Linked DNA regions of Astyanax mexicanus. The protein of the gene in region 2 purifies or fractionates together with the protein of the main gene of each other region. This does not show direct contact. Links are inferred from orthologs where the notes say so. Each region holds a gene or a part of one and is shown on either strand. Other genes may lie near its edges. The genes, in order: vamp3, stx8, sybl1 and stx7l.

Region 1 (7,922 bases), on a different chromosome or scaffold from region 2:
TAAAAATGATTAAGATTAATAGGGGTGCCCAAACTTTTTCATATGACTGTAACATGAAGTAGATAAGTTGTAGTGGAACTTACATGAACTGCACTTTTACTGTTGAAACAAAACACTCAACCGGACAAACTGTGTTTCCAGTAGAAGAATAATACCTTTTGCTTCTGTGCTGTGACTCAATGAAGGTAGTCTGAGACTCTATAAAATGGAACACAAAGAAACAACAATAATTAATATTTTCTAGTCAATTTCAGGCCTTTCTATTATTACTTTACAAACAAATCAGATAAATTAAAAGCATATTTATGGAACAAATATATATTTCAAATGTTCTTGTTCCATGTTTTAGTAGCATCTGTACAGAGTAGCTGTTTTTGGTATTTAGGTCTGTTTTGGACATTATGCTGCTTCTTCAGGAATTAAACTATAACATATGTAAGGTGTCAGCACACCATGCATGTTCCTGTGACAAACACAAATCTCTTTTTATCTTTTAGGAGAGTATTAAATAAATTGGCCAAACTTTTCTCTGTATCTAACCTGTAAAGTTAAGTGTAACAGGTACTGTACCTGTGGTCATACATTTTTCTGTAAAACCTCTGATTCATTAAAATATAATCTTTTTGCACTAAATATCTGTCTTTCTTTCATTCATTGCATATACAATGTATTTTATCTAAAAAATATTTACACATTCATAGAGCTAGAAAATAAACAAAATTCACATATGTTTAGTGTCTTTTTTTAATTAAGTAGATTACAACCTCCATTAGCCTGTACATTAGTATAAATACACTAGGGCATCTAAAAAAAATTACTTACTTTATTTCAGTAACTCAGTTTAAAATGTGGAACTCATTTATTATATAGATGTATTACACACAGAGTGATCTTTTTAAGCATTTATTTATTTTATTGTTGATAATTATGGATTACAGCTAATGAAAATCCAATCAGTGTCTCACAAAATTAGAATATTATGTATGACCATAAAGCATGCTTTCGGCGCATTGTGCCAGGTCCAGCTGGAAATTGAAATCCACATCTTCATAAAAGTTGTCAGCAGAGAGAAGCATGAAGTGCTGCAAAATCTCCTGGTATACACTGCATGATTTTGGACTTGATATAACACAGTGGACCAACACCAAAAAATGTAAAATCTTACAGCACTTCATGCTTCCCTTTGCTGACAACTTTTAAATAGAGATGAGGATTTCATTAAGCTGTTAGCCACAATTATCAACAGTAAAAGAAATAAACACTTAAAATAGATCACTCTGTGTGTAATACATCTATATAATATTTGAGTTTGACATTTTGAATTAAAATACTAAAATAAAAAAAGAAAAGATCACTAAAAAATGGTGAGTTTCTTTAATTTTACCAAATTGAAAACCTCTGGAATATAATCAAGAGGAAGATGGATGATCACAAACCATCAAACAAAGCAAAACTGCTTAAATTTTTTGCACCAGGAGTAAAGGCATAAAGTTATCCAAAAGCAGTGTGTAAGACTGGTGGAGGAGAACATGCCAAGATGCATAAAAACTGTGATTAAAAACCAGGGTTATTACACCAAATATTGATTTCTGAACTCTTAAAACTTTATAAATACAAACTTGTTGTTTTTTTGTGTTTTTTTTTTTCTTTTGCATTTAAGGTCTGAAAGCTCTGCATCTTTTTGTTATTTCAGCCATTTCTCTTTTTCCTGCGAATAAATGCTCTAAATTTGGGAGAAATGTTGTCTGTAGTTTATAGAATAAAACAACAACGTTTATTTCACTCAAACATAAACCTATAAATAGCAAAATCACTGAAGTGGTGTCAGAGCTGTATATAATATCTCAGTATGAGTAAGTTACTTGTAGCTATACGCTGGTAAGGAAACTATGCTTGGAGAATGTAACTCTTAATACTAAACCTTTACATATACATTCAAGCAAAACCAATATACTCTAGGCTGTATATTAAAAAATAAAACAGCAACATAATACTCCAAACAATTCAACAATTTAGTGTTCCCCAAACATGACAGTTTTAACACAAAACTTTGTCAATTCACTGGGGGAAACGTATTAAGAGTTTAGCTAGCTCACCCACTGAACAGGATTAGCTAGCTCTAGCTAGCTGCCCAAGGCCAAACCCACACACTCACACAAAACAGTCCCACATTTTCCAAAAATCAACCTTTTTTGTGTACATAACTTGTCAGAGTCTGCTGTGAAATTGCTATTGTGTACTTTTATAGAGTTATTCATTTATTTTAACCTCTACAAACCTGTAAAACAGGAGAGAAATGAAGAGACAGCTCCAGAGGAGACTCAGTTCTCTGTAGTTCTGAGAGATAGAGGTGGGCGGATCGATCCAAATATCGATAATATCGATACCAACGCTGGTATTGGTATTGAGCAATACTCGTGTAAAAATATCGATATTCAAGCTTTTTTCTCTGCCGCACGCACTGACTGCTGTGCACGAGATTCACCACAGTCTACTCTCTGGTCTCTTGTTGTTGCACATGCATCACATGGCTCAGCAAAGCCAGCCAAACCGCCAGGCAGGTAGGCTCAGCCTGGCCCCGCCCACTCAGCGCTCTCCTCGAGTCCACACGCCTCTACCTCAGGAGATTTGTGTTGAGTGATATTTTTTTACACTCTGTTTATTTAAGAAAAACTTGCATTTGAATTGCACTGAATGGAAGACAATTCCTTTCCAAATGACAATTCTATTAAAAAAAGAAACAAAGAAACAAAGAACTAGAAAAGATGTCTAGTGAGGGGAGAATTTTTATTTTATTTTTTTATATTTTTTTATTTTATATTTAAACTTTGTTTTGTTACTGTTCCATTGTTTCTAAAAAAAATGTTGATTGTGATACTAAAGTATTTTGTTATCACTAATGTTTGGTGAAATTTTATCCGAGGTTTTTGGATCATTTGGATCTATAAAGCTTAAATATTAAAAAGTATCGGTATCAGTATCGATATCGGCAATACTGGCCCTGCGTTTACTTGGTATCGGATCGATACCAAAATTCCCGGTATCGCCCACCTCTACTGAGAGAACAGTGTAGAGGGCGCTGTACTATGTACCTGCCGCCTTCTACTGCCACCCTCAGGTTCGGAGGGGCTATAGCAGGCTTGACTAAAAGAGCTTTATTTGTTGATTTTTTTAACTCAATAAAAGTACAATTTCTATTAATTTTACAAGAATAACACCCAACCTCAAATATGTAAAATAAAATAAAATATTTGCACGTATTTTTCACTTTTTACTAATACTTATTAAGACTATAGATTATATGTAGTTAAATATAATACTGATATAAAAAAAAAACTCTGGTGTAAAATTGACTTTAGGTGTAGTAAAACATGATAAAGAGTACTAACCTTTGTTAAATAGCCCACCTCTGTTCTCCCGCAGCTTTCCGAGATGCAGTAATTTTGTGCTTTTTTCCCAGCACTCTTTACAATGGACGCTTCAGGGCATCCACTTGCCCCTGCAGATAAATCGCTTTTTACACTATAATCCAGGCTTAAAGTAGCTTCACAACTTATTGACAGAATTCGGAGATCCTTGACATTTAAAACGAGGCATTAATAACTTTAAAAGTGCACAATAAGCTTATTAGAAAATAAGGCAGAGATTAGACTACGCTACGGGTTGTAAACAGTGTTTTTTAATGAGCTTCTTGTCCACTTTTAAAGTTATTAATGTCAGGGCTTCTACCAATTCTACCAGTGAGGTGTGGGGCTACTTTGAATTTTGAATCTTTTATAAGGTCATTATCACAGTATACTGTGCTGTTACATTTTAATAGTGGGTTTCTTGACATGATAAATGAAAACAAAAAGCTTGTCTTCTCAAAGAGACCTCAATATTACCCCTTGAATAGGATGAGTTAAAGTCACCAAATAATACATTGTTTAAAAACCGTACTAACTAGCTTATTTTCTGTTTTACATATTTTATCATATCTAGGCCTGTCACGATAAGATTTTTTTGTGGACAATATATTGTAATAACAGAATAACAGAATAGCATAAAGAAGGCAATTAAAAACCTTTTAAAGACAACAAAATGTGAATTAATCAATTATTATAATTAGTTTGGGAATTAATATACTTATTTCTTCACCTACTTTAGTCCACACTGTGTGTATCGAGCCACAGTTATTGAAGCATGACTGGCTAAAATACTGTTCGCTGTTACATATGTGAACAAATATACAAATAAACACAATAGACGATATTACGATTATCAAAAATTATTAAGGTCATGTTAATTTATTGTACGATAAATAGATATTGCAATTATCATACCCCTTGCTGGAGACTACAATTTTATACTTTTCAGTAAATTCTTAGAAGAATACAAATAGACCACCTGAATTCAATAGGTCTAGAACAAAAAATATCACACTTTTAGCAATAACAGCCCTATTATTCAAAGTATAGTTATGTAGTGAAAAGTTATAGGTAAATATAATCTTTGCAGTATTATTTATTGACTGTTTGTGGAAATTTGACAATTTTACAGAGATTTTTAAAACTTTAAAATCACATCTTAATAGAAACTGAATTCCTCCAACTTTACTAAATAGTTTGTTGGAAATGTGGTACCACAGAAGAGCAGAAGTTTCCTCTGTTGTGCAGGACAAGTTTTTCAGAGTTACCAGCCTCAGAAACAGCTCCCCATACAAGTTAACTAGCTCCCTAGATGCTAACAGTACCTAAATGCTTCTTCACAGAATATTTTGGTTTGTTTAACACTTTTAAGTAACTAAACGATTCATTATGTGTTTCTTCATAGTCTAAATCACTTCACTATTCATTTACAATGTAGGAAATAAACTGAGTCAGTAGTTTAGTGTGGAGCTGGCCCTTTAAGTTAGTGTGCTGTGAGACAGTAGTCCACACAGACTGACTGATAGACAGAGCTGCAGCTACTGATCACTACGGAGTTTATACAGCAGCCGGCCCTCTACCGAACACCACATCAACAACCATGTAAGTGTGTTTTATAGCGAATGTGTGGGCGCTTTTAAGCGGATAGATTATATTTATGTTCGCTATATACATATTTAGGAAGTTTGATAACTAGCTAGCTATCTACTCCAGCTAATACTCGCTCAAAACAACGCCCAAACTTCCCCAGGCCTCCCTCAGCAACAGGTTAGCATGCTAGCCAAATAGCTAGCTAACTAGCCAAGCCTAGCTTAGCATAACTTATCTTAGTGTTTTCTTTGGCTGTAACTTTAAAAAAAGCTTCGTGGTTTTGAGTTAAACAGTCTGTGTACCTGATTAGGTTTATTTTTATTTTCTTTAACTAAAAAGAAGCTTCTTTAGTATCAGTTACAGTTAAATACAGTTCCAGCGCCCAGACTAGTTGTTATTAGTTAGCTAGTTAATAAACTTAATATAAGGGCTAGGTTAGCTAGCGCTAGATAGCCAATTAGCTTAGCATAACTTTTACCGGTCTCTTTTACTTAAAAGGCTAGCTGCGTTAAGCTAAGCTAAGCTAACTAGGTCAGTTAACTTCAAGAAACTAGCGACCAGCGTCAAAAAATTGAAGTTTTTTTCCGTGGTTTTACACATTTTTCGTGGTTTTACAGCGCCAAACTGCTGATACATCGTCATTTATTAATAATTACATTAAAACCCCTAATCACTAAAGGATAGAGAAGGAGATGATGTTTTTAAATCCGCGGACAGTGTTGAGAAAACTCTCTGCTATATTTTGTGTTTTTTTCTGGATATTCTATAGCTAAATAACCGCTAGAAACTGCAATTGTCCATCATTGCCACATAGTACGAGATGTGTCAACGGTTTTCTCTTTTTTCTGTCTTAATGAACACAGGAACCAAGCCCAAACTTATATCCTCCAGCAAAAGTAAATGAAACACTCCCTTGTGTGATTAGGCCATAAGGTGCACTAGAAAGTGATTTTCGTTTGTACGTCTGGGGACTATTTTTATTTTATTTTTTATGTGTTTTTGAATTGACAACCCCTTCATTGACGTTAAGTTAAAAAATCTCAATAAAACAATCCTGCAGTTTTTTGTTACGATGCATAAATTTAAGTTATATAAATGCGAATCCAAAAATCCCAACACAAAACATATCCCAAACTTACCTGTACATGTACCTAAATATCTGAGACAAGTATTAATGCTTTAGTACACTCAAATGTGAAAGTAGATCATTGTATGTTTGATCACGAATGCACTGAGAAGGTGTTTATTTTTACAGGCATATGAAAGCCCATACCTTGTACTTAACCCTCCCTAACATGATTTCTATTTTTGGGAAAAAAATATAATAATAATTCAAGCCATTTTTGGGAGCTTGGGAGCCCCTGTTGATATATCAAACTTTTAAATGTGATGTGTTGTAACAGGAAAGCGATTAAAACATGAAGAGAAAGGAGTCTCCTGGACTAAAGATAAGACCCAATGTTTTAGTATAATTGATCAAACATAAGAGCTGTATGTGCTCAGTGTTACCCTGAGGCAACAAATAAAAATACTTTTGTAGTAGGTTTCTATTCATGTCTCACTTGTGTCACATTGTATTGTGTGGATGTTTTCAGTGTAGAAAGTCTAGAAATATAAATAATAGGGCATAAATAAAACAGGCATTGTGCTATTTTTGTTTGTTCTACTATATATACTGCAATATATATATTTTTTAACACCAGATTTCATAAAAAGTTTCACTGTGATCCATTTCTCTCTTTCTTTATACAGAATTTGAGTGTATGTTGGTGTCTTTGACAGTTAAACTGCTAAACAGTCTGTTAAACACAAACGCAATCAGGTAGTGAAAGTGAGAGCAGTAAGATTTAGTTCGGATATGAGCTGTCTGACAGATGGCTCTGCTTGTTTCTTTCATCAGGTGACAATGGTTTTGTCTAGTAATTCAGACATGCAAACCTGTGGTTATGTCTAAGGCAAGAACGCATTATTAGTGGATGTCTGTCCATCTATCTGTCTAACCAGTAAACTTCAAGCTAAAAAACAATTGGCCATTGAAATCAGCCTTTAAATCCCAGATCTCTTACATGCCTTTTCTTCAATTATTTGATTACATTCAGTCATAAAAGTAGTAGTAAGATCAGTTGACCTGTGTAAATACTGTTGACCTAGTCACACAGTGAATGTTTTGTGTTCTGAGTTATTTTAGGGTCGTCTGAGTGGACCTGTAGCTAAAACAAAGAGCATGTGATTTGTTTTCCTGCTGTTGTTTTACTAATCCTAAAAGAAATGTGCTTTCTTTCGCACAGTGCAGTTTACCCCGAGAACAGGTCAGTTCTGAGTAGGTCATGCACAGTATGCAGAATGTAACCTCACAATATGTTGCATTTTCACAATTTGCATTGTGTGTTTTTTTTTTTTTTTTTTGGGAACAGTTTGTCAGAGACATAGACAACGCGCCAGAAAATCACTGTAGTACTGTGTTTACAAACAAAAGGACTGAAAGTTATTAAAATGGTTTTAACTTTACTTCACATTTGAGTGTTTAGCCCTCTTACTTCTGCCTGGCATTAGGCAAAAAGTTTCATGTTTATCTGCACAAAATGTTGTGTAGCAATTAGCTGTGAGAAGATGTGTGTGAGTATTTGCACATCTGTGTCAACTTTGGGTGTTACGTAAAGTAGTTGAATGCGATTGTGTTTGTGTGTCTTTGTTTGTATAGTTTAATAGATACATTTTAAATTGATCTAATTTCTGTACTGCGGTAAAATAGCTATATTATAGATATTAAGTGTTCTGTGAGGTTTGTCTGCTGTGTGCATTAGACCCCGAGGAAAAAAAAAATCAAACAAATCCAAAGAAAGGCATGCTGTACTCCCGTTTCTCTCATAGTTTTGTTACTAAAAAGCCACAATTCTAGAGTAAAAAGATAACCATGCACTTCTT
Region 2 (7,705 bases):
TCCTGATGTAATTTTACACGCACCTGATGCTTCATGGAATAAGTCTTTAGAGTTTTAGCTGTTTTTGTAGGTTTGTGTTATACTTGTGTAGATGTAATTCAGGCCTATAAAGGCAGTTTTTTTGTAACGTCTCAACAGAATAACAAATATGGAAATTGCTGGAACATTTTGCAAATAATAGAACCATTTTTGCTATTTATATTGATATTGATATGTTATTAGAAGAAGCATCAAAAAAGGTGTATAAAAGGCAGTATAAAAGTGTTTAGATATATATACAGCCCTGGAAAAAGTAAGAGACCACTTAAAAATGAGGATTTTTATTTTATTTTTACCAACAAGAGGAAGACGGATTATCACAAGCCATCAAACCAAACTGAACAGCTTGAAACTCCTAAAACTTTATAAATATAAGAATTTGTTTTCTTTGTATTTCTTTGCATTTGAGGTCTGAAAGCTCTGTATATTTATTTTTTATATTTCAGACATTTCTCATTTTCTGCAAATAAATGTTCTAAATGACAATTTTTTACATTTGGAATTTGGGAGAAATGTTGTCTTTAGTTTATAGAATAAAACAACAATGCTCATTTTACTTAAACATAAACCTATAAATAGCAAAATCAGATAGAAACTGATTCAAACCCTGAAGTGGTCTCTTATTTTTTCCCCAGATCTGTATATTTGGGAGTGTATAAGGTGCATACAGGTGTATAATAGCACATATTAGAGTTTATAAGCATGTATAAGTGCTTATTAAAGTGAATAAATGTGTAGGAGTTTATAAATATGTATAAAATTGTATAAGCATGTATAAAAAAACATTTAGAAATTTATAAGCATGTACAATGGCTTATAAAAGTATTTCTACTCCTTGAACAGTTTCACATTTTGTCACCTTATAATCACAAATTTAATTTTATTTCGTTGAGATTTTAAGTGATAAGCCAACACAAAATAGCACATAATTGTGAAGTGGAACTCCAAAACACTGGCAGCTGTAATTGCAGTGAAAGATAGGTCTACTAATAACTTTGCATGTCACACTTTTATTATTTTTATTTGAATAAAAATTTGAAAATCATGTATCATTTTCACTCCACTTCACAATCATGTGCTACATTGTGTCTGTCTATCACTTAAATTCTCAATAAAATACATTTAAGCTTGCGGTTGTAAGGTGACAAACTGTGAAAAAGTACAAGGGGTATGAATACTGTATAACATTTTATAAGCATGTATAAGAGTGTATAATAATTTATAGGAGTTTGGAAGAGTGGTGAAAGGATACATGCGGCGCTGTGATGAGGCTCGAACCAGTGTCTCCCTCAGTTGTAAGATGTTCTGTTTCAGCTTCTGCAGCGACGCTCTTAGAGTCATGTTGAGCTGCACAGAAAAAGCATTAACTTAAATTAACCATACGTTAATAACTTTAACTTATATTCATCAGATATAACTACTACCAGTAATATTGGGTAGGACTGTGCACTATGCACTCTACATTCACTGTACAGTATTTTTATAGCCATTTGTATTTTCTTTTTATCATATTGTCCTAGAAATAATTGGATTAAAAAAAATCACTGTCAATGTAAGACCACATTTATGTAATTTATACAATAATGTTATAACATTAAAGCGCTTCTAAAGAGCAGTGTTCTTTTCATTATCAAACATTATTATTATACAAATTTCCAAAAAAATTTAAATGATAGTTATTACAGTTAAAGTTGACATTCATGTTAATTACGGTAACCATTAGCCTGTCAGCCTTAGCCTGACTATGAAGAAATATTCTACAGACCAAATCAGAAAGTTTGTGCACATGCCTCGACTACTGCAATGCCCTGCTAAATGGCCTCCCGGCCTGTGTAGTAAAACCACTCCAAATGATCCAGAATGCAGCAGCACGTCTGGTCTTCAACCAGCCAAAACGGGCACATGTCACCCCGCTGCTCATTGAGCTCCATTGGCTACCAGTTGATGCTCGCATCAAATTCAAAGCTCTTACAATCGCCTACAAGGTGATGACAGAACCGCTCCTTCCTACCTGCACTTGCTCCTGAAGGCTTACGTCACCTCCCGGTCGCTGCGCTCCTCCAACGAATGTCACCTCGCTTTACCAAACAAACATTCACACAAAGTAATCCAGACTGTTCTCATACAGAGTTCCCCAATGGTGGAACAAACTACCTTCTACTACCAGATCAGGAGAATCTCTCACTATCTTTAAGAGACTCCTGAAGACAGAGCTTCCTCTTCAAAGAGCACTTACTCTCCTAACACCTCTAACACACTAACTACTTCTAACCTCATTTCCTTCTTCCCCTCCTTCACTTCTCTATCCCATTATTTCCCTTTGACCTCCTTTAAGCCCCTATCTAAAGATGTTTTACCTTTAAACTTCTATTACTTTGTACTTGACTATTGTAAGTCGCTTTGGACAAAAGCGTCTGCTAAATGTAATTTAATGTAATGTAATGTAATTTAATGTAACATACTGGCTGGCTTCCAGTTTGCATTTAGCAGCTACTTCTCTCTGTCTCAGTTTCTTTATTATGTTATTATCTACTCTATAAATTAGTGAAAATGTTCTGTATTACACTCTGTTGATGAGCGTGACTGGTAAAGTCCTGTTGTATTAGTTTATAGCTCTCATGAGTTCAATGGTTTTTGTGAGGAAACTCTGATTTGTCTAATTCTAATCAATTCTAACATTATTTTGAGGTCATTTCTTTACCTTGGCAGGGTTCCCACCGGTTCTCTGCAGTCTGTTCCGCTCATGGATGTTCTCTGCGATTTCTTGGGCCAGTCGGCAAGTGGCATCATAATTCTGCAACCTGATGAAATAGTGGTTCAAAACAATAGCACTGTTTTCTACACAAAGTAGAACGAGATCAATTAAACAGTTAAATAAAAAAAAACTATTAACAATATTTAATTATACACCTAACCTACAAGTTCTCCTCTACTCCTTTCCTGATGAGTGCCATTTTAATCATTACATTTTTGACGATCTTTGTGACTGCACTTGAGGATATTTTCAAAGTTTTTGGATTGACAGACCTTAAGAAATAAAAATTAAAACATTACATTACATTATATTACTGTGTGGTTAGCTGTACTGACAATTTGACAACTTGAATAAAACGGGCAAATAAAAAGCACACTAAACCTGAATGTGCTTGTCTCAAACATGCTAGGTAGTTACGTAAGTTATCTCTCTGGCTACAGTTATGAAGCTAGATAATTCTAAAAATGCAGTGGAGTTTCCTCTATAGTTTCTGTTTTAGTTCAGTAAAGAAAGCTCGCTGGATTAAAAAGATCCATAAACAGAAACTGTTCTGTTTTTGAGCAAGAAATATCTGGTCGGAGTGTTGAACACGTTCAGAGTTTACGTTATATGGTGTGGTTTGTATGGTAGTGTCTGCACTGCGGTGTTATTAACGCTAATTATCAGCAGACAGTCTGAGTTTAAACTGCAGGACTGCATCATGAGACTGGGATCAGCTGACTGAGAGCTTCTCCCTCTAAACACCAGGACAAAAATCTCTCACACTGATTTGCCGTCTTTACACACCAGTAACCCCAGAGCCCGGATAAGTACAGGTCTCAGGACAGTACGCAGTAAGAAGTTCTCCAGCAGCTTTAGCTATATGTTAATGATTTTAGTTATCTGGTTAGCTGACCTGAGCTAACTCTCTCTACAGCTCGAGCTGCTGCTGATACAGATAACTTATATAGCGCTGTATAAGGAGAACTAAGCGAGGCTGAAGCTCAGACTTACCACAGGTCCTGAGCCATGTTTCATCTGAACTGCGCTGAATTAACCCAGAGTTTTACTGAAAACTCAAAAGCAGAAAAAATCTAACACGAAAATCAAAACAAAGCTACAGCGATCAGCTGCTTCCTGTTTCACTCTGCGACTGAGTACAGAGCGCTGTAAGGGACAAACTGCACTCGGTATTGGAAACGCGAAGCTAATGTTTTTTTATTTACACGGACATTTCTGCACATTTTCTAAAATGTCACCCTTTTAAATTAATTTCAGAGAGGTATATCTCCTCTGGTATAGCTCCATATAAAAAGTAATAATAAATAAATAAATATAAAGAAAATAAATGTTACCTGTGGTTAAATCGCCTACATCCTCAGGTAAAATATCAACATTTCAAAATAGCTTTCCAGGAGGACAGCTAGTTTCACGGAACTTATTTCAGGGCTCGTCCCCATTTGTTAAGTTATATAAATACTAAATAAGTACTCTAATATAAGATTTACATCCTAGTAATAAAGGCTACAATATATAAATACTTCATAGTTGTTTAGTTTTCGTATAAAAGTCTATAAAGCTAGCTAGAAATGCTCTACAATTGTCTTCTGTCTTTTCAATCAGTATTTTACTGTTTTCTAGTTGTTTCTACTGCTCCCCTGTCTCATAAACTATTCTCTTAATCCATTACCTCTGTAAATTAATTACATTATTTTACATTTATCAAACCTTCACTATCATGCTAAATGTTTTATAACCTTTTAGGAGAAACAAAAACCTTGTTGCTACCAACTTTGAATGGAAGTTAATGTAATTAAAATACTACATACTAAAATACATTTTATACAATTTAAGTCATTTTGGAGCATTTTTATACAGCACAAAGAAAAATGACTAAATTCACATTATGAAGAAATGTGTATTAACAAAAACAATATTGTAATCAAACCTTTCCTAAATTCACATCCGCACATTTAACCCTAAGTTTATTGTATACAGTTGTACAGTTAATATTTTTTAAAAAGGGTTAATCTTTTTTAAAAGCCCAGCAGAAACTTATCCAATCTGTTGTTTTTTTTTGTCTGTGGTGTTTAGTCAGCCAAATTGTTGACACAGTCAGCTTGTTGATTTTTAAATATTATATTCACAGCCATGTCATATTAATGTGTAAAGTTCCACAGGACCAGTATATTGGACTATTTCATGCTTCTGTATTATAAATGTAATACTTATACTACTCTAATACAAGAAAACACATAATATGTTATAAAGGCACATCAAGGGACCACTTTTAGATGGAGTCCAAGGACATGGTTAACATAATTTTTTCCATGGGTATAAAAAAATACAAACAAATTTTATTTTCTTAAATGAATTGTAATGATAACTAACTTGAGACAATATCTCAGATAATCCTTCCCCAAAAGCAGGAAAACCCTTGACATTTTCCTGTCACGTCCTTTCTAGTAAAAATAATATATATATATATATACATTTTACACTTATTTACTTATTTTACCAAATTAGGAGAATAATCCAAATACAAAATTTATAATGAAATAAAAAGGTTTTAACTTATACCAAACATAAGAATGTAAACAATGATAATAAGTTCTCAATTAATAAACCTCATTAATGATAATTTCTTAATCAATGATAATCATAAAAAGTAGAATGTCTTCAATGCCGAACCAAGATATTCACAGGTTAGACCTTTCTAAAGTATCCAGGCTTTATACAATACAATGTATTAATCAAAGTTGATATCATATGAAGATTTTTAAACTTTTTTTGTCATCTGACAAAACGTGATTTATGTGACTGACACTAAGTAACATGACTGGAAGACATCATAAAGCCCCACATTTAAGGCCAAAAGCTGTCTATATTTTGTTTCAAGAATAAAAACACGTGTTGGAATAAGAAGTCATGTGAGATGCTGTACATTTGTTTGCTTGCTTGTTTATTTGTTTGTTTTTTGTAAGTGCAATACCTCACAAATATGTTGCAGTGTTATTTTTTTTGTAATGTTGATTGTGGAAACATAACTTCAGACATTATAGAGGAGAATATTTATATTAATATTTATATTAATATTAATATGACTTCTTTGGCATAGAAAGATATTACTCTCTAATATTAGTTTCATAAGCTCATGTAGGTTATTCTAAATTCTCCTTTAAACTTCTCTAAACTCTGTAACTCTTTTTCTAAAGCTGTCAGACTCTTCCACATTTATCTAAACTCTTCTAACTCACTCTAGAGTCTTCTAAACTCTTGCAAACCTTTCTGTTCTTTATGTAAGTAGTGCTATAACAGCCATGCTTCAGGTTTCCCCAGGTAGTGAATTTACTCGTTTTGGTCTGGTGGATTTGGAGCGAGGGAACGATGCAGGTGCCGCTCCTCTGGCTGGCTGTCGGAGACTTCGCTCCTGTTCCCTTTTTGTTCCTGAGGGTTCTGGAAGGATTGACTTAAACTTCAGCAGACCCAGGTCCAGATCCTTCTACATGTGTGAACCTGATGACAGCAGTGAGTCCAGGTCTGAAGGGACCAGTACTGGAAGATCTTTCTCCCTGCAGACAGACTTGGAGAAGAAAGATGACAGCCACACCAAACTGGCACCCAAGAGATCCAAGGCATGCACACATAAACACCTCAAAAAAGACCACACAGGTAAGAGTGACTTCATTTGAAAACAGTATTTATGCAGTATTCAATTTAAAGTGTGTAATGGGGGAAGGATTGGGGTGTAGGTTGGTTTATCATTACATTCTTTGTTAATGAGGTTTTTTAGATATTTTGTTAACTAGATTTACAGCAACAATACATTATGGCAAGGTTTTCAGAGACTGTACTGATTACTCTTCATAATATTATTTTTGTTTTGCTTTTTGTTGTGGTGATTCATGTACACTAAGTCTACGTTCACATTACAAGCCACATTCCTCAAATCCGATTTTTTGTCTATCTTGACGCTTTACATTCACAAGTGTAAGTGATCTGTATCTGTGTGTAATGTGAACAAATCTGTCCCAGAAACATCTAACATGCACACACTGATACTTTTAAAACATTGCCTTCTTCATCAACAACAAAAATGTCATATTTGAGAGACGACTTGTACCTTTATAGAGGTGAAATGGATGTGTTAGCAGCTCATATGTGGAGCATCTTTTGCTCGAGTGGAGAGCAAACAACTAGTCTGAAGTACATGCTCAGCTCGAGGCGGTGAAAAAAGGCCAGGCGGTTTGCTTTTGCTGGCACAAGAAATATGAGAGGGTATAAGAGAGAAGCACGTAGTACATGCGTAAAAGCAAAAAGACGCATGAATTCTGATTTGACAGTTCACATTCATGTCTCATATCAATGGATCGAATTCGTATCTAATTTAGGACCACGTATGGAAATGGCTCAACTCTGATTTGAAAAAGTCAGATTTGGCACATTCACACAGCCATGAAAAAATTAGATCTGAGCCACATTCAGCAAAAAATCAGATTTGAGTAACTTCAGCCTGGTAATGTAAACATTCCCATTCCAGTTTCCCAGGTTTAGGCATAGTCAAAGACTATATTTTTCTGTAAACTGAAAATCTCCTATTAAAATACTGGGCAATCATAAACTAAATTTTATTTTAGATTTTATATTTAATGCCTGTTGATATCGCCTGCCCCTCTTGTCAGACCAAGTGTGGGAACTCTGTGCAAAGGTGACCATATAATGACCATATTTTGGTCAATACACTATAATTCTGAATTAATTTTTCAGCTCATGTAAAGCACCCTGTAATAAACGTCAGTCAGTGTTAAAAATGCCAAAATAATGTATTTTGGACTATTGGAAATGTTTCTACAAATCATGTGACCATTATTATATTGTTACTGTACATACTCAATCAGCCAAATGCTTTCCATATGGTAAAATAAGAAAGGC
Region 3 (7,228 bases), on a different chromosome or scaffold from region 2:
ACTCACATGTTTGTGTGTGTAGAAGGTTTAAGTCTGGCCCTTGTAGTTTCTCCTACAGGGTTCATTCAAACCACTACAAAAAAATCTTAATATTAGAGGAAACACTACAATATGATTGATACATTTGTCATTGCTTAATATAAATTAAAATGCTTCCCCTCCGTTTGAAAAAAATAAGTGCATCCCTAGTTAAATTAATAATAATAATAACTTGAGAGAACTGTTTCATCTGAAAAGTGAAAGCAAGTATACAAGACTTCTTCTCTGGAACTAAACAGCAACATTAAGAGAAAGGTGGAACCTGAGGAAGTATACTTTTATAAATGTATAACATAAACTGTTTGATGCAACTTACCATTTGTGCAGCGAGAGTGCTGGAGAACTCACTGTTCATGGCGTAGGGTAAAGCTGTCTGAGCCCGGGAGCCATAGGTGGTTTGGAAACGTTTCTTCACCTCATTGAGGAAGCTAAACGCACGCGACCTTTCAAAATCCTGCACACAAGGGCACACAAAACAACCTCACTCACTGACATTCATATATGATGTAAAACAAATCACTCTAGACTCAAGTTTACTAATAATAAGCATGATCAGGATTTAATGTTAATGATCTGATCACAGATTTAGCTGCAGAACATTCAAGAACAAAAGTCAATCAGGATGGGATTCATACTTACATCATCTGTGATACATAGATAGATGATTCTGTCATGACAGACGTAGTGGAAGAGATAGCTGAAATCGAGAAGAGCCACGGCAATAATTTAGCAAAGTTCACTTGGAGGAAAAAGGCAATATCAAAGGAGAATCCTCCACATTTACAAAAATTCAACCTCTAAATGTAGGAAATTTGCTATTCAAGAGAAACATACAGAATTACAGAGTACCATAATTCTTCTTTGCATTAGTAGAAACCAGATTTCTTAAGAAATTAATGCATTTAAATGCTTCCTTACAGATATCTGTAATATTAAATAGCTATGCATATCCTTGCTGTGCAATGAAAAACATGTATCTCTACAGTGGTGAAAGCAAAAATCATCTACACTTAGAATGTACAGAGCATATACAGGTTTCAAACAATGGACCGAAAAATGTAAAACCTGACAAAAAAAAAAATGCAGCTACATGCTTTTCCAGTGGACAGCTGTGATATGCTGCTTCATGCCTGAGACACTGTTATATTATTATTATTATTTAGCATTTAGCATTATTTACATGCATTAATTGTAGAGACTTTTTGAATGTGCATCAGATATCACTACACCTGGTTCTCATCACCACCATCGTAAAGAATCAAAATCTGTAAATTTTCCAAATGGAAATATGATGGAATTCACCTTAAATAAAGAAACTTGCTGTGTCTTAGTACTACTAGACATTTTAATAGCAAAAATGAAAAAAAAATCTAATGCCTGCAGTCTGTAGGCTGTTCATCCTACCTGCCATGGGAGTAGGTGAGTTTGTTGTTTTCGGACGGGATTTTGGCCAAAATCTGCTCTGTCACCTCAAGAAAGTTTCCACCACACCAGGCATGTTTGGCCAGTATGGTTGTTCCACGAGCCACCACAGCAAAGAGGATTGCCATAGCAGGGACGAGGGTGATGAGGTCCGAATTACTGACTAAAAACTGCTGCAGGTGCTGTAGATAAAAATGTTAAATATAAGTCTACACCACAACATTGTTGCCTGTTCTATGTCTCAATATTAAAACACATACAGCTCTGCAAAAAAAATAAGAGTTTCTGAATTAGTTTCTCTGATTTTGCTATTTATAGGTATATGATTTATTCTATAAACGACCAACAACGTTTCTCCCGAATTCCAAATAAAAATATTGTCATTTAGAGCATTTATTTCCAGAAAATGCAGAGATTTCAGACCTCAAATAACGCAAAGAAAAGAGGATTATATTCATAAAGCTTTAAGAGTTCAGAAATCAATATTTGGAGGAATAAACCTGGTTTTAATCACAGTTTTTATGCATCTTGGCATCATGTTCTCCTCCACCAGTCTTACACACTGCTTTTGGATAACTTTATGCTGCTTTACTTTTCTTTACTACTGCTAATAATAACATGTCTACACATGTCATGTAGTTATGTTATCATTAGCAGTAGCAAATAAAATTAGAGCTGTAACCTAAAATGAGAGTAAAGAATAAGTTAGACCACAGACTAAAACAGCTTGTCATGTTGTATTAATCATTATTAGGGGCAGGTACGCGAAATTACATCTCGTTTACACAATTGTGGTAATTAGCTAGTTAGTTAGCTAGGGTTAAATAAGCTAATGTTAGTTATAGCTCCTGATGAGTCACAAGCTAATATGATAGCTAACGCTAGCTAGCAGCGTTAGAGACCGACAGTGTTTAAAACCAAAAATAGCGCATTTTTCTCGTCACAAAGAAACCCTATTACCAGCACTATCTAACTTTATCTACAGGCTATGATATAAAACACACCACGGACATAATGAAACCGAAACACATAGCGTTAGCATTAGCATTAGCTAGGTTAGCTACCACAACAACAGCCTCTGGAAGCTGCGAGATTCTCCCAGATCCTCCACCCGTTCTCTTTAACACTCCAGCCCCGATCTGCCTTCACTAACCCCGCCAGCACCCCACCAACCACCTCCTAAATTCCTCAGTAATCAGCTACATAAAGATGGCATCTAAATAATACTGCAATAATACAAAATATTACAGCACTTGAACTGTATCTACCGCACATCCCTGCGATCAACCTAATCACAAAACACTCTACCAACTCTACCAGCGTTACTCAGCTAACTAACAAACAAACACAGTTATATTTACATCCAGCTGTTAGTTTATATAAAGCAAATATAGAATAACATATAAACAGAAAATACAGCTACCTGTCACGCTGTTAAATCACGCATATGAGTCCATCCACACGCTGTAGTCATGAAAACAATCCTCCACAGCTCCTGCGAGCTCTTTCCGCATCGCCCAGCTTCACCCAGACCCCGAGCTTCCGCTGCGCTGCCGGGAAATGTAGTTCAACCGCAGGTTCAGTGTAGTTTTTTCTGAAGTGGGTGAAATTATATTATATTTAGGGATGTCAAAATTAACGTGTTAACGCATGCAGTTAATCTGGAAAATGTATTGTGTATTTTTTTAAACGCAAATTAAACATGTGACAAAATTGACAGAGCCTAGGGATGCATTAACAGTTTTATTTAGCATTATTCCACAGTTAGTTCCAACCCTGCAGTGTGATTGCTTGAGAAGCACTCTATGAGTGCTGTTATCAGCCGATAATGCACTGTAACCGAAGCTCTCCATGTATTACTCTGCCAAATACAGATAATCTAGAAATGATGCAGCGCTTACAAGCCAAACAGTGCAGCTACAAACAGAGCAGCAATGGAACTATTTTATTAAAGATATATACATATGCATAATTCCAAAAAACAAAATGAAATTTTCTCAAAATGTTCATTAATTTAGAACGATTTTTTTACATTGTATATATTGAATTTAATATATGTAAGAGTAAATAAGGCCTAAATAGGTCCGATTTTTTTGTACATTTTATTTTATGGATAAAATATTTACTGAGTATGCCTCTGGGAGTCACAACCAGAGCACTTTAAATGTTTTAAAGCCTTATAACTAGAGTTTTAAAGCTTTACAAATACGCTGGTGCTAATGAAACATTTTATATCGTTCTGTGTTGACACTGTTTAGTTTAAATAAATAAAAATATATAAACTCATATTTTTTTAATATAATCTGTTTTCACTATTACTCCATCGGCACTCATACGAATAGCGCTCTCTGGTGGCTGACCATAACTTTCATCATCAACCTGCGCCAGCCTTTACCCGTCCCGTAAACAAACCCGTGCTTGTGTTTGAGTGACACCTGTTTTTTAATATATTATTTTTATTAAAAAGTCCCCGCGCCGAGACGAGCAGCACGCGCATGCACACATAACAATTACAAAAAAAATTATTATTCCCTCCTGGCTGCATTAAAGCAGTTTAAGCTGATGTTTCTGCTGCAGCTATAATAACAGAACGCGTCACTCCTCTGAGCGGAACGTCATAATGCTGCGACACGCGTGCCACGGTCCAGAACGCGAGCATGGCCGCAGCAGATACAGAGAAGAAGCGCGTGCTGGAGATGGTAGGATTAATATATATTTACGTTATATAATCTGCAGTATTAGACAAAAACTAGACACCTCTTCTGATTCACTGTGTTTCTTTTTATATTATTTTTACATTGTAAATTTAATGCTGAAGACTGTATTAAGGCTATACAGGAACACATGCAGAATTATTCTGTAAACAAAACGTGTTAAACAAACCAGAACATGTTTTAAACTGTAGATATGTGGTTCCCAAATATTTAAAGCAATGTATCACCCATAGTTTAACCAACCATGCTGGCATTTCAACGTTAAATGACAACGTTGATGTTAAGTTTGAACCTTTAATAAACCATAGCTCACATTCTGGATGCTCAAAATTGTACAGAAAACTGTATGCCGTTTGGTTTGTCACCTGGTCTTCCACCCTGAAATGCTTTGTATTTCACAGTACTAAATGTAGTCAAATCAAAAAGTGTTATTGTCAATTCTGCATATTTACAGAAAATACAGAGGATTAAAATTACTACTCTCCTTCCTAAAGTTACAACAAATGCAGCAAGATAAAAATAAAAATAAAATATAAAGAATGAGAGACACTAAATGTACAATACAACAGGGTTACAGACATAGACATGGGATACAAGATACACAAATGACAGTACCATTGTAAACAGAACCTATATAAGCAGTAATGCAAATATAGTGGTATAAAATCTTAAGGCTGGTAAAGTACCACAGTTCTAGATTCTTCTAAATAGCCACATTTAGTAGGAATGTCCTTATCACATTTTTTATGCCCTGAGTCCGAGTCATTTGATTTTGAGTTTCTGCCGATACAGAGTGCCGATCAGATACTTTGGCAATGCAGTAAAAAAAACAAAACTGATATTTACAAGTTGTCCCTTAAAGGTTTTTTAAATATGTTTGTAATTATTACTAAAACAACAGTATCGAATTTTTTTTTCCATTTTTCCATCAAAAGCCATTTTTATCACAAAATTAACAAGTTTAAATAAACATTTAAATATGCATCTTTACTTAAATAAACAAACTAAAAATGTCACACAACAGCAATTCTGTGATTAATAAAACTGAAGATTAATGGTCTATTATAAATGAACACAGCACAGACTGCAGACAGTCAGCTGATATTTCTAAACATCATGATGATTTATTTTATAATGCTGGTCGTTCTATTTTTTTTTTGTTTGTTATTTTTTATTTTTGTTATTTTTTTTATAGAGAGACCGTAATAATGGTATGGTTTAGACCAGGCAGACTAGGTTTAGACTAGACTTTTTACCCTATTATCTTATCTATATTACATTTAGATACATTATTACACACAAGAGGTGTGTACACATTTGACTGGACTGATCGTATAATACATAGTGTATAATACACATTTGTTTAGAAAGAGAAGATATGTTACTGATGCAGTTTAACCTCTCTACCACTAGGGGGCGGCGTGCTGTAGAAGATACTGAGTGTATAATTATTAAAATGCGCAGCACTGAAAGTTAATTACCACATATAAAAGCTCAATATGGTAGAATTAGATTATTATAAAATTTAAATTATGTAAATTGTCAAAACAGTGTGTGTCTTTATGTGTAGTTCAGGGTCAAACGTGTTTTACTTGTTATGCATGTATAGTTGTGGAGGAGACTGTAAACAATGTGTAATAAGTCTGTTTTGTATACTGTGAATAAAATGAGAAATGTATTCTTTTTAGTGCAATAAAATCTATAAACAAAATATAAAACGTTTATTACCTTATCCCGGTCTTTGTATATGTGGCCCCAAAACACCCTCTGCAAGTGAGTAAATGAAAACACACATGCAGATGAATTTACAACAGATATCTTAATTTTTATTTTAAAATAAAAATAAAGATGTATCGGTGTATCTGTAAAAAATAAATACACTATAAAAGCAAATAACTTGCATTTTTACCAATTATATAAATAAAGGCAATGAAAAAATGAACACCAATTAATGCTAAAGTATTCTAAAATGAATATAAAAGGAAAATAAAAAAAATAGAAGTTTTTAATTAAGCAAAGTATTTAAAATAAATACTGACTTAAAGCCACTGATGAACATGCTGTAATTGAATCATTATAAAGTGAGAAAAGTGATAAATCTTAAAAATATAAATATATTTGCCCTACATAGAACTTTAAAGCTTTTTACACCAAAATTCTCTACATATCTTATTTTCAATCATATACTAATGCATATTTCGAGCAGGCAATTTTGCAGTTTTGAATTAGAAAGAATAATACTCCTTTATTTGGCCTCCGTGTGCTATTTTTATTCCTCCTTTATCACAGTTACGTGCAATATGCCACAAAAAAATGATAACATGGTTTTCTAGACTTTGATGCTGAGATTGTAGTTTTGCACAGACCGTCTAATTTCCCCACAATTAGAGACTTCAAACAGTCTCTATATGATAAGAGGATTTTATCCTGTTCTGTTAATGGGGTTTTTAATCAGCTGCTCCCTTCATCCACCTTCTTTATCACTGTTTCACTGAGTTTTTGAAAGCAGAACACACCTCTTTCCTGATCTAAACAAAACAATAGAACTGGCATTTGATCAGTGGAGTCGTCTCACTCCTCTCTTTCCCTCCTTTCCTGTTTAGAAACAGCAGCTGACTGTGTTCATTTATAATAGGCCTGTAATTCATCAGTCACGTCTTAAAGCATTACTGAGTTTCTGTTCCTCACTTCATGAAGAATCATGCAGACTGTGAACACTGCAGGTGTTTCCAAAGCACTGGAGGCCGTTTAGTTCTTTGACCACCAAGTGTATTAAATGAGCTTTTCCATCAGATATAGAGAACTGATATTACTGATCTTATACAGCTCTGGAAATAAAAGAGAGCACTTAAAAATGATGAGTTTCTTTGATTTTACCAAATTAAAAACCTCAGGAATATAATCAAGAGGAAGATGAATGATCACAAGCCATCAAACCACCAAACTGAACTGCTTGAATGTTTCCAAAAGCAGTGTGTAAGACTGGTGGAGGAGAACATGATGCCAAGATGCATGAAAACTGTGATTAAAAACCAGGTTTATTCCAACAAATA
Region 4 (7,978 bases), on a different chromosome or scaffold from region 2:
CCAACTCTAGAATTTGGTAGAGGATACATAAGTAACAACACATTAAGAAGCTCACAAGCCACAACTGACAAATACTTGTATTTTTCACAGCAAGAGGAACAAAAAAAGACAAGATCACGGCATGATTTTTCAGTATATGTATATGTTTTCTGTTTAGTCTACTAGAAACTTTTCTCAGCACTTTTATTTTAGTCCCTCATGTTTAGTTCCCAGTTCCTTTTTGACTTTAGTTTCATTCGATTTTGTTTATTCAGCAACTGGACTGCTCTACACAAAATAAATACTGAAATTGAAAAACAATACATTTTACTGCTTACATTTTTCTTTAAACATTTAAAGTACTAAGTGTGACATGATACTGATAAAGCCTATGTTATTGTGTGTTATACCAAATAGGGGTGGGAATCACAGGGCAGATCCCAATATGGTATCACGTTACGTTGCCCATGGTATCGATAATATCATAATACTGTGACTCAATATAATGCAAGACAATTCTGTACAATAGAGGATGAAGAGAATAAAATACAAATATCAGGAATGATGGATCAGTTTTACAGAATTTTACAAACAATATTATTTGTCACAGGTATACCCTTTTTATTTGATTAGCGCCCCCACCTAAAAAAACAGTGACTTTTGTAAGTCAAATTGAGGGCCGAGTCTTCTTAGAGCCCCTATGTTTCAATAAAATATAAGAAAAATAATGATAATTGACGCCACATCAGCATATGTTACAGTCAAAGCGATATGATAATGTATTGTCCCACCACTTGTACCAAACAGTTCCACACATGAATCAACACATCATGTAACACCAAAGAAAGTATATACTTTATTGATTTATAGTTGTCTATATAACATTGTCAATATAACATAACTACATTATAGTTTATATTGTGGATGTCATCAATTCTTTTAAAGTGTGCCAACACATGCTTTTATTTATTTCATCTGCAATGTTTGCCACTATTGTGATACATCAAATATTGTGAAATTGTCTTGACATATCATATGGCATTTATGCCACATTTCCTACCTTAAAAAAACAATACTTCACTGTCTTGCTGTTGACGGAAAAGGGATACCTGATAGCATAAATAATACACAATCCATTAAATTGCCATCCGTAATTTACATACAGGTCTGGAAAAAAACGCGAGACCACTTAAAAATTATGAGTTTCTTTGATTTTACCAAATTGAAAACCTCTTGAATATAAACAAGAGGAAGATGATCACAGTCATCAAACCAAGCTGAACTGCTTGAATTTTTGCCCTAGTAGTGGCATAAAATAATCCAAAAGCAGTGTGTAAGACTGGTGGAGGAGAACATGCCAAGATGCATGAAAACTGTGATTAAAAACCTGGGTTATTCCACCAAATATTGATTTCTAAACCCCTAAAACTTTATGAATATAAACTTGTTTTCTTTGCATTATTTGTGGTAAGAAAGCTCTGCATCTTTTTTTTTGCAATTTCAGTCATTTCTTTTTTTTTTTTTTTTTTAAATAAATGCACTAAATGACAATTGGTAGAAATATTGTCCGTAGTTTATGGAATAAAACAACAATGTTCATTTTACTTGTACCTATAAATAGCAAAATTGGAGAAACTAATTTAGAAACTAAAGTGGTCTTTTAATTTTTTTCCAGAGCTGCATTTGTTCATATTATTTTAGTAGTTGTGCTGCTTCATGATTGATCTCTTTTGATAGCTACTCACAGTAAATGAAACTACCGACAACTACCTCCCCCTGAGGATGGACCTGCAGACAAGAGGGTCCTTCCTATAAGTAAATACAGAGCCAAAATATACCAATACTCTGTACTAAATAAAAAGTAAGTAGGTTATATACTTTTATTTAATTGCAGTTTCTCATAATTAATAAAGGGACACTCTTATGGAGTTCGTAAATCTCAATACTTTTTTGATGACCACTAATCCTTTTTATGCAGGTCTTTGACACACTTTAGTGTGTTTTAGTTTGAGCATGGTACAAGGTATAAAAAGTTTGATAAGCACCGGTTTAGAGTTTGTCCTTCTCCCAACTCATCTGTTAAAGGAGGAAAACACTACAATATAAAGAGCAGAATGTATCACATTATTTAAAATCACATGCATGTGTGTTTTAGTTTGATTATGGGTGGTACAAGGTGTTTTAGAGATTGTCCTGCTCCCAAAACATCTGTTCCAGCTACTCAGCAACTAACCAAGCTCCTCCTGACATGAACTTGGTGTGTAAAGGAGGAAAACACTATGATATGTACAGCAGAAGTTCTCCAGGCCACACTGCAGTCCTGTAGGAGAAGACTGAACCCGGGCCTGAGAGCTGTTTCTGACAGCTGTTCTTACTCTTGTCTCTAAAATACTTTTACTGGAGGATTTGGGAGATTGTACTTATGTCATTAGACAACCTGCTGAGCTTCACAGTCTCCTCTAAAACTCACCTGCTGAACTTAGACAACAGCAAAAATGCGGAAACTAACAAACACACCCAGAAGCAGCTGTCACCAGGTTCAGCTCTCAGACCAGCCTTACACATGTGTGTATATATACAGTATACATACACAGTATATATAGGCTTTATAGGATCTAAATATCAATGTAAGTTTCGCAGAAGTCCCTATAAAGACCGAAACTCACTTATTTAAGCTCTAAAGTCACAAAAAGAAACGAAACCACACTGGCAGCGAAAGTGTTCACGCACCAGAAACCTCCAGCGTCAGTTAACCTAGAGTTAGTTACTGACGCGACACCTAATATACAATACTCTGCACTATTTAACACATTTCCGGATATTTTCACACCACTGTACGTCTCTTAAAGCCGCTCCACATTAAACACAGTCAGTCTCCGGGTTTATCAGCTGTATTAAACGCGTCTTTTTTAGCTTTACCTCGGTTTCCTCGGCTTTGGTGAAAGTATTCTCCACAGCAGACTTCCTCACAGCTGAAGTCCAGCCTGTCACGTGAGAGTCTGTCGGGCGGTGATTGGAGGATTTCACGGTTGTTTTTCCGCACCCGTTTTCGGACAAGGCCCGCCCTCTCCTGCGCTGAGATTGAATAGAATTGTCACTTAAATTAATAAATTAAACTACTTTTTTGCAGTTTAGATATTTTTAAATGTCAAGACAAAATCTTCAACGATAAACTAAACACTAAAAACTAAAAAAGACACCAAGCCCAGTTATCATTGCTTATGTCAAAGGTTCTCAAACATTTTACAACCAACCTGTTTATAACCAAAGGTGTCAAGACAGTATTCAAATGAATGTGATTATTTACAATAATATGTTAATTCAGAAGCCCAGAAAGAAACTGGACAAAATTAACACCCTTTTAAAATGGCAAGAAACAACTGGATTATTGTCATACAGTGCTTCTGTAATTAGCATTTGTGGCACATAACAAATGCAATATACACTGATAAAAAAAAAGGTCACACACTCTTATATTTTGTTGGACTGCATTTAGCTTTGATCGCGGCACACATTTGCTGTGGCATTGTTTCTGTAATGTCTTAAGATTTATTTCAATCCAGTGTTGCATTATGTATATTTATTTATTATAAGTTTCTCATTGGAGCAAAGTTCTGGACTCTGGTGAACAATCCATGTGTGAAAATGATGATCTCATGTTCCCTGAACCGCTCTTTCACAATTCCAGCACCCTGAATCCATGCATTGTCATTTTTGAATATGCCCGTTTCATCAGGGAAGAAAAAATCCATTGATGGAATAATCTGGTCTATATTCTGTATGTTCAGGTAGTCAGCTGACCTCATTCTTTCAGCACATACTGTTGCTGAACCTAAACCTGACCAACTGCAGCAACCCCAGATCTTTTGCTTAGTTAAATCCAGGGGACGACTTGTAGAAAAAAGATCACATGTTCAGCCAGTTTTAAATAGAACAATTTTGAGTGCTTGTATTTTGTTTTAAGACATTATCTGCCCATGGCACTATACAAAAATATGTGGACAGTGAGACAATCTTTAGTAATTGGGCTCTGCATGCCACCACACTGTATTTGAAATGAAACAAATGAGATGCAACTGAAGTAGACTTTCAGGTTTGATTTAAGGTGTTGAACAAAAACATCCAATGAAGTGTTTAGGAATTAAAACTATTTTCTAAAATGACTGCCTGGATTTTGGAACCCATCAACATCCTATATGATGCTTTACCAGACTGCTACTGCAGCTGTTTTCAGTTGTTGTTTGCTTGTGGGTTTTGCCTTAAGCAAGTGAAAGGCACCTTGATCGGGTTGAGATCTGGTGACTGACTCGGCCACAGCAGAATATTCTACTTCTTCACCTCAAAAACTCCATGTTTTGGCTCCATCTGTACAGTTTAGCCCTGTTTAACTAACCTTTCTGCATTTGGTTGAATCTAAGCATAAAGTAAATCTCTGTACACTTCAGAATTCATCCTTTTGCTTCTGTCTTATCTTCAATAAACACTAGTGAACCAGTGCCACTGGAAGCCATGCATGCTCATACCACCACCATGTTTAAAGCGGCAGTGCGTATTATTTTGTTTCTAAACTAAAAGCAGAAGCATTTCTGAGTGAAGAAGGGATAAAATATTGTGTTTAAAGGTACCAGTGTGCTGGAACGACCATCCCAGCTTAGCCTAATATATTCATTCTAAAAACTAGGGTTTCGGGTCAATAGTATATATTATATGCAGAACCAGAGACTGCAGTTTTAGGACCGCAGTAGTTTCAGGACCGCAGTTCTAGAACCCTATGTTTTCGCGACACTGCCACCTAGCGAAATTAATGACTTACTACTCCTTAATATAATATCATCACTTTATCTAACAACTTACAGATTTGAAGTCTTATCTCACCCAAATATTACCAATTCAGCTAACTACTTTTTAATGTTTATTTCACCCAAATATCACTTTGTCTCAGAATTTGTCTTAGAACTCCCAACCACATATCAGAGACACAAGGATGTCTTTGGGCTCTATTATGTATTTGATATCTAAAATGGATTCAAACTACTTTTCGAAAGATTGAAATCTTTTTGGAACTTCAAGTTAATATATAATAATATCTAAGAAACTGGTCAGGCAAAACAAAAAAAGAGTGGTCCAAAATTCCAGTATAGAAGTGTTTCTGAAGCCTGTGGTATGAATATTTTGTACAGTTTCTTTCTGCAGTTCTGTGTGGAAAGATGCAACATTTTTCTTTTTGCTTTTTTGTGTTTTGGTTGTTTATCAGCGTAGGTGGTGCATTTTCTGTAAGAAGTGCAGAGATGGCAGAATTTTGGCCATTTCTGTAAATGTAAATGTGTGGCAGTAAATTGCACTGTCCTACAAGCCTGAAATGTGGTAAATACTTGACTTCACCTATTCAGAGTCCTGCCATCCCCACAACCCCACATTTTAATTAAACAAATTAATTTTTAATTTGATCACTAACACGAAATGCTTTTGCCCCAAATTATGGCACAATGTTTCCTTTATAAAACTGCAACCAGACAGTTTAATGATTAGGATGTACTGTTTAAAAAGAGAAAAAGCGGTGTGGTGAGAAATTTTACATTCTAAAGATATTGTTCATAGGTGATAAATAGAAGAGTCCACAGAGTTCAATTTAAGAGAAATAAAGTTTAAAGCTTCACCACAGAAAGTTATTTAAAGAAAGTTTTGAAATAGTTTACATAGTTATGAAATAAATCTTTGAAAATGTATTCAAGGTGAATGAATACATGACAGTGCATTGTGGGGCAAAATAGTCCCCAACAAAAACCTATTTGTTCAGATTTGCATTCTACCATTGTCATTACATAGATAAACATATAAGAGGTTCTTTGGTGTTTTTAGATGTTAAAATGTAAAAATGATGATTAATTAAAATGATTTATTTTGTTTTGTAGTCATTGTGACATTTGTTTCCCATAACCACCATTGTAAAAACATGAAATAGTATGTATAACATAAAAATCTAAAAATGAAAAAAAAATAATATATATATATATATATATATATATATATATATATGACAGTGTTCTCTACTGAAAACAACAAAACAGCTAGTTTGATAATCTGATCCTGAATCTGTTCACATTCCATAACACAAAAATCAAAAATAAAATATTTCACATTAACACATTTCATTTTCTTACATTTACTTAATGTAACACATTCTATGCATGTGCGCATCTAAATATGTAAGTCCAAATGCTATTGATCAGTGTTAAGCAGTTTAAAATGCAAATAAATGATGAAATGTGACATACATTTTATTTATTCATTATAATACAATATATTTTACTCTTTAGAAGAACTAAAGTACATAAATAACACAACCTGCTATGCTAAAGACATTTAAGCTAGAAAAATGTTTGTGTCAGAGGAATGAGGAGTAAATATTCTCAGTGTAACAATAAGATAGAGGGATTTCCTGAACCACGGGTAGAAGAGGCCATATATTATAGGATTTAAAGTTGAATTAAGGTAACCCAGCCAGACAAGCACTTCAAAGAGTACCGCAGGTGTGGAGAAGTTGATGTAAGGATCAACTATAGAGTTAACAAAAAAGGGCATCCAGCAAAGAATAAATGCACCTACTACAATGCCGAGGGTTTTTGCTGCTTTGTTCTCATGTTTCACACTTTGAGACACCGTATTCATGCTGGTCCCTTTCTTGCACTGCTTCTTGCCTTCAATTTTCGTCGCATGCTTTTTTGACACCAAAAATATTTTAGCATACAAACAACCCATGACCGAGCATGGCAAAAGGAATCCAATCAATGTATCCAAAGCCCCCCATAGTGCATTAAACAAAAGGTCACAACTTCCCACACAGAAAATTGACTCCATATACTCTTCCAGATTTGCTACGTTTGCTTTTGAATACATTAGACCATATGAATACACCGCAGCTGTAGTCCAACTCAGAGCTACCATTAACCATGCAGTGGGTATAGTTATTCTTGTGGGGTAGTGAAGAGGATGGCACACAGCCTGATAGCGGTCTGTCGCAATACAGACCAGGTGGAAGATAGATGCAGAGGTCAGAAGCATGTCAAAACTAGAGTGCAGTAAACAAAAGCCTTGTCCAAAGTACCAGCAGCCATCCACAGATCGGATCGTGCTGAAGGGCATGACAATCATGCCCACAAACAGGTCGGCCAAGGCTAGAGACATCACCAGAATGTTTGTGGGTGTATGGAGTTGTTTAAAATGTGCAATGGAGACAATAACCACAAAGTTCCCAAGAACAGTCACTGCCATTGCCAAAATGAGTAAAAAATATAAAACAGATTTAGCTCCTACACTGTAAAAGCTTTTTACACATGAGGCATTAGATTCAGGATAACAATATTGGCTTAAATCTGCTTCTTCTGTTAAATATGATTCCATTGTAGATGTAAAACTTGAATTTGTGGCTTGTAGCATCTCAAAGTCCCCCTTTACATAAAGAAAAAAACCTGAGAAAAAAAGAGAGCCGTCTTCCTCTAGTCTGCACGTTCAAGAGGCGAGGTACAGAATCAGCCCTGCTAAGAAAAGTGAGAACTTATATTGGCTTCCTTCCTGAGAAAAACTATTCCCACTGCTGCCATGAAAAACCTTTTCCCATGATGTTAATAATTACAGGTGCATCTCAAAAAATTGTGAAACTATATATTATAAAGCTGTATTACATAGAGTGTTTTTAGCCGCTTGGACTGTGTGACTCTACACTCTTCCTCCGGACTCTGGTCCCTTGATATCTAAATGAAATGCAAAATTAACTGATGATCAGTGATGGTGTGTAGAGCCATGTCACCTGCTGGTGTTGGTCCACTGTGTTATATCAAATCCAAAGTCAGTGCAGTGTTTTCCCGGAAAATCTTACAACACTTCATGCTTCCTTCTGCTTCCTTCTACTTTTATGGAGACACATTTTAAAAACTAGCCTAGTCCATGTAGGAGATAGATGTTCTACTAGATAGATGTTAACTGTTTTCCTGTTGGCTGT

What was found.
Region 1: the proteins of stx8 (region 2) and vamp3 purify together in Homo sapiens (co-immunoprecipitation; 3 studies listed by BioGRID and IntAct, with this or other methods). This does not show direct contact. The link is inferred for Astyanax mexicanus from reciprocal best matches to the Homo sapiens genes STX8 and VAMP3.
Region 3: the proteins of stx8 (region 2) and sybl1 purify together in Homo sapiens (affinity purification with western blotting; 3 studies listed by BioGRID and IntAct, with this or other methods). This does not show direct contact. The link is inferred for Astyanax mexicanus from reciprocal best matches to the Homo sapiens genes STX8 and VAMP7.
Region 4: the proteins of stx8 (region 2) and stx7l purify together in Homo sapiens (affinity purification with mass spectrometry; 5 studies listed by BioGRID and IntAct, counting the BioPlex papers as one, with this or other methods). This does not show direct contact. The link is inferred for Astyanax mexicanus from reciprocal best matches to the Homo sapiens genes STX8 and STX7.

What each region holds. Positions count from the first base shown.
Region 1 is NC_064431.1:5,052,390-5,060,311, reverse strand, and holds the start of vamp3 (vesicle-associated membrane protein 3), read left to right. Parts: upstream 1-4,901; 5' UTR 4,902-5,007; coding exon 5,008-5,009; intron 5,010-7,922. UniProt on the Homo sapiens protein: SNARE involved in vesicular transport from the late endosomes to the trans-Golgi network.
Region 2 is NC_064412.1:26,666,169-26,673,873, forward strand, and holds the start of stx8 (syntaxin-8), read right to left. Parts: upstream 3,009-7,705; 5' UTR 3,003-3,008; coding exon 2,959-3,002; intron 2,841-2,958; coding exon 2,741-2,840; intron 1,387-2,740; coding exon 1,292-1,386; intron 1-1,291. UniProt on the Homo sapiens protein: Vesicle trafficking protein that functions in the early secretory pathway, possibly by mediating retrograde transport from cis-Golgi membranes to the ER.
Region 3 is NC_064417.1:2,196,098-2,203,325, forward strand, and holds the start of sybl1 (vesicle-associated membrane protein 7), read right to left. Parts: upstream 3,021-7,228; 5' UTR 2,885-3,020; intron 1,644-2,884; 5' UTR 1,590-1,643; coding exon 1,444-1,589; intron 737-1,443; coding exon 679-736; intron 494-678; coding exon 356-493; intron 1-355. Other genes in the region: polr1d (DNA-directed RNA polymerases I and III subunit RPAC2), read left to right, coding at 4,119-4,160. UniProt on the Homo sapiens protein: Involved in the targeting and/or fusion of transport vesicles to their target membrane during transport of proteins from the early endosome to the lysosome. Required for heterotypic fusion of late endosomes with lysosomes and homotypic lysosomal fusion.
Region 4 is NC_064408.1:40,137,399-40,145,376, forward strand, and holds the start of stx7l (syntaxin-7), read right to left. Parts: upstream 3,007-7,978; 5' UTR 2,899-3,006; intron 7-2,898; 5' UTR 1-6. Other genes in the region: trace amine-associated receptor 13c-like, read right to left, coding at 6,343-7,416. UniProt on the Homo sapiens protein: May be involved in protein trafficking from the plasma membrane to the early endosome (EE) as well as in homotypic fusion of endocytic organelles. Mediates the endocytic trafficking from early endosomes to late endosomes and lysosomes.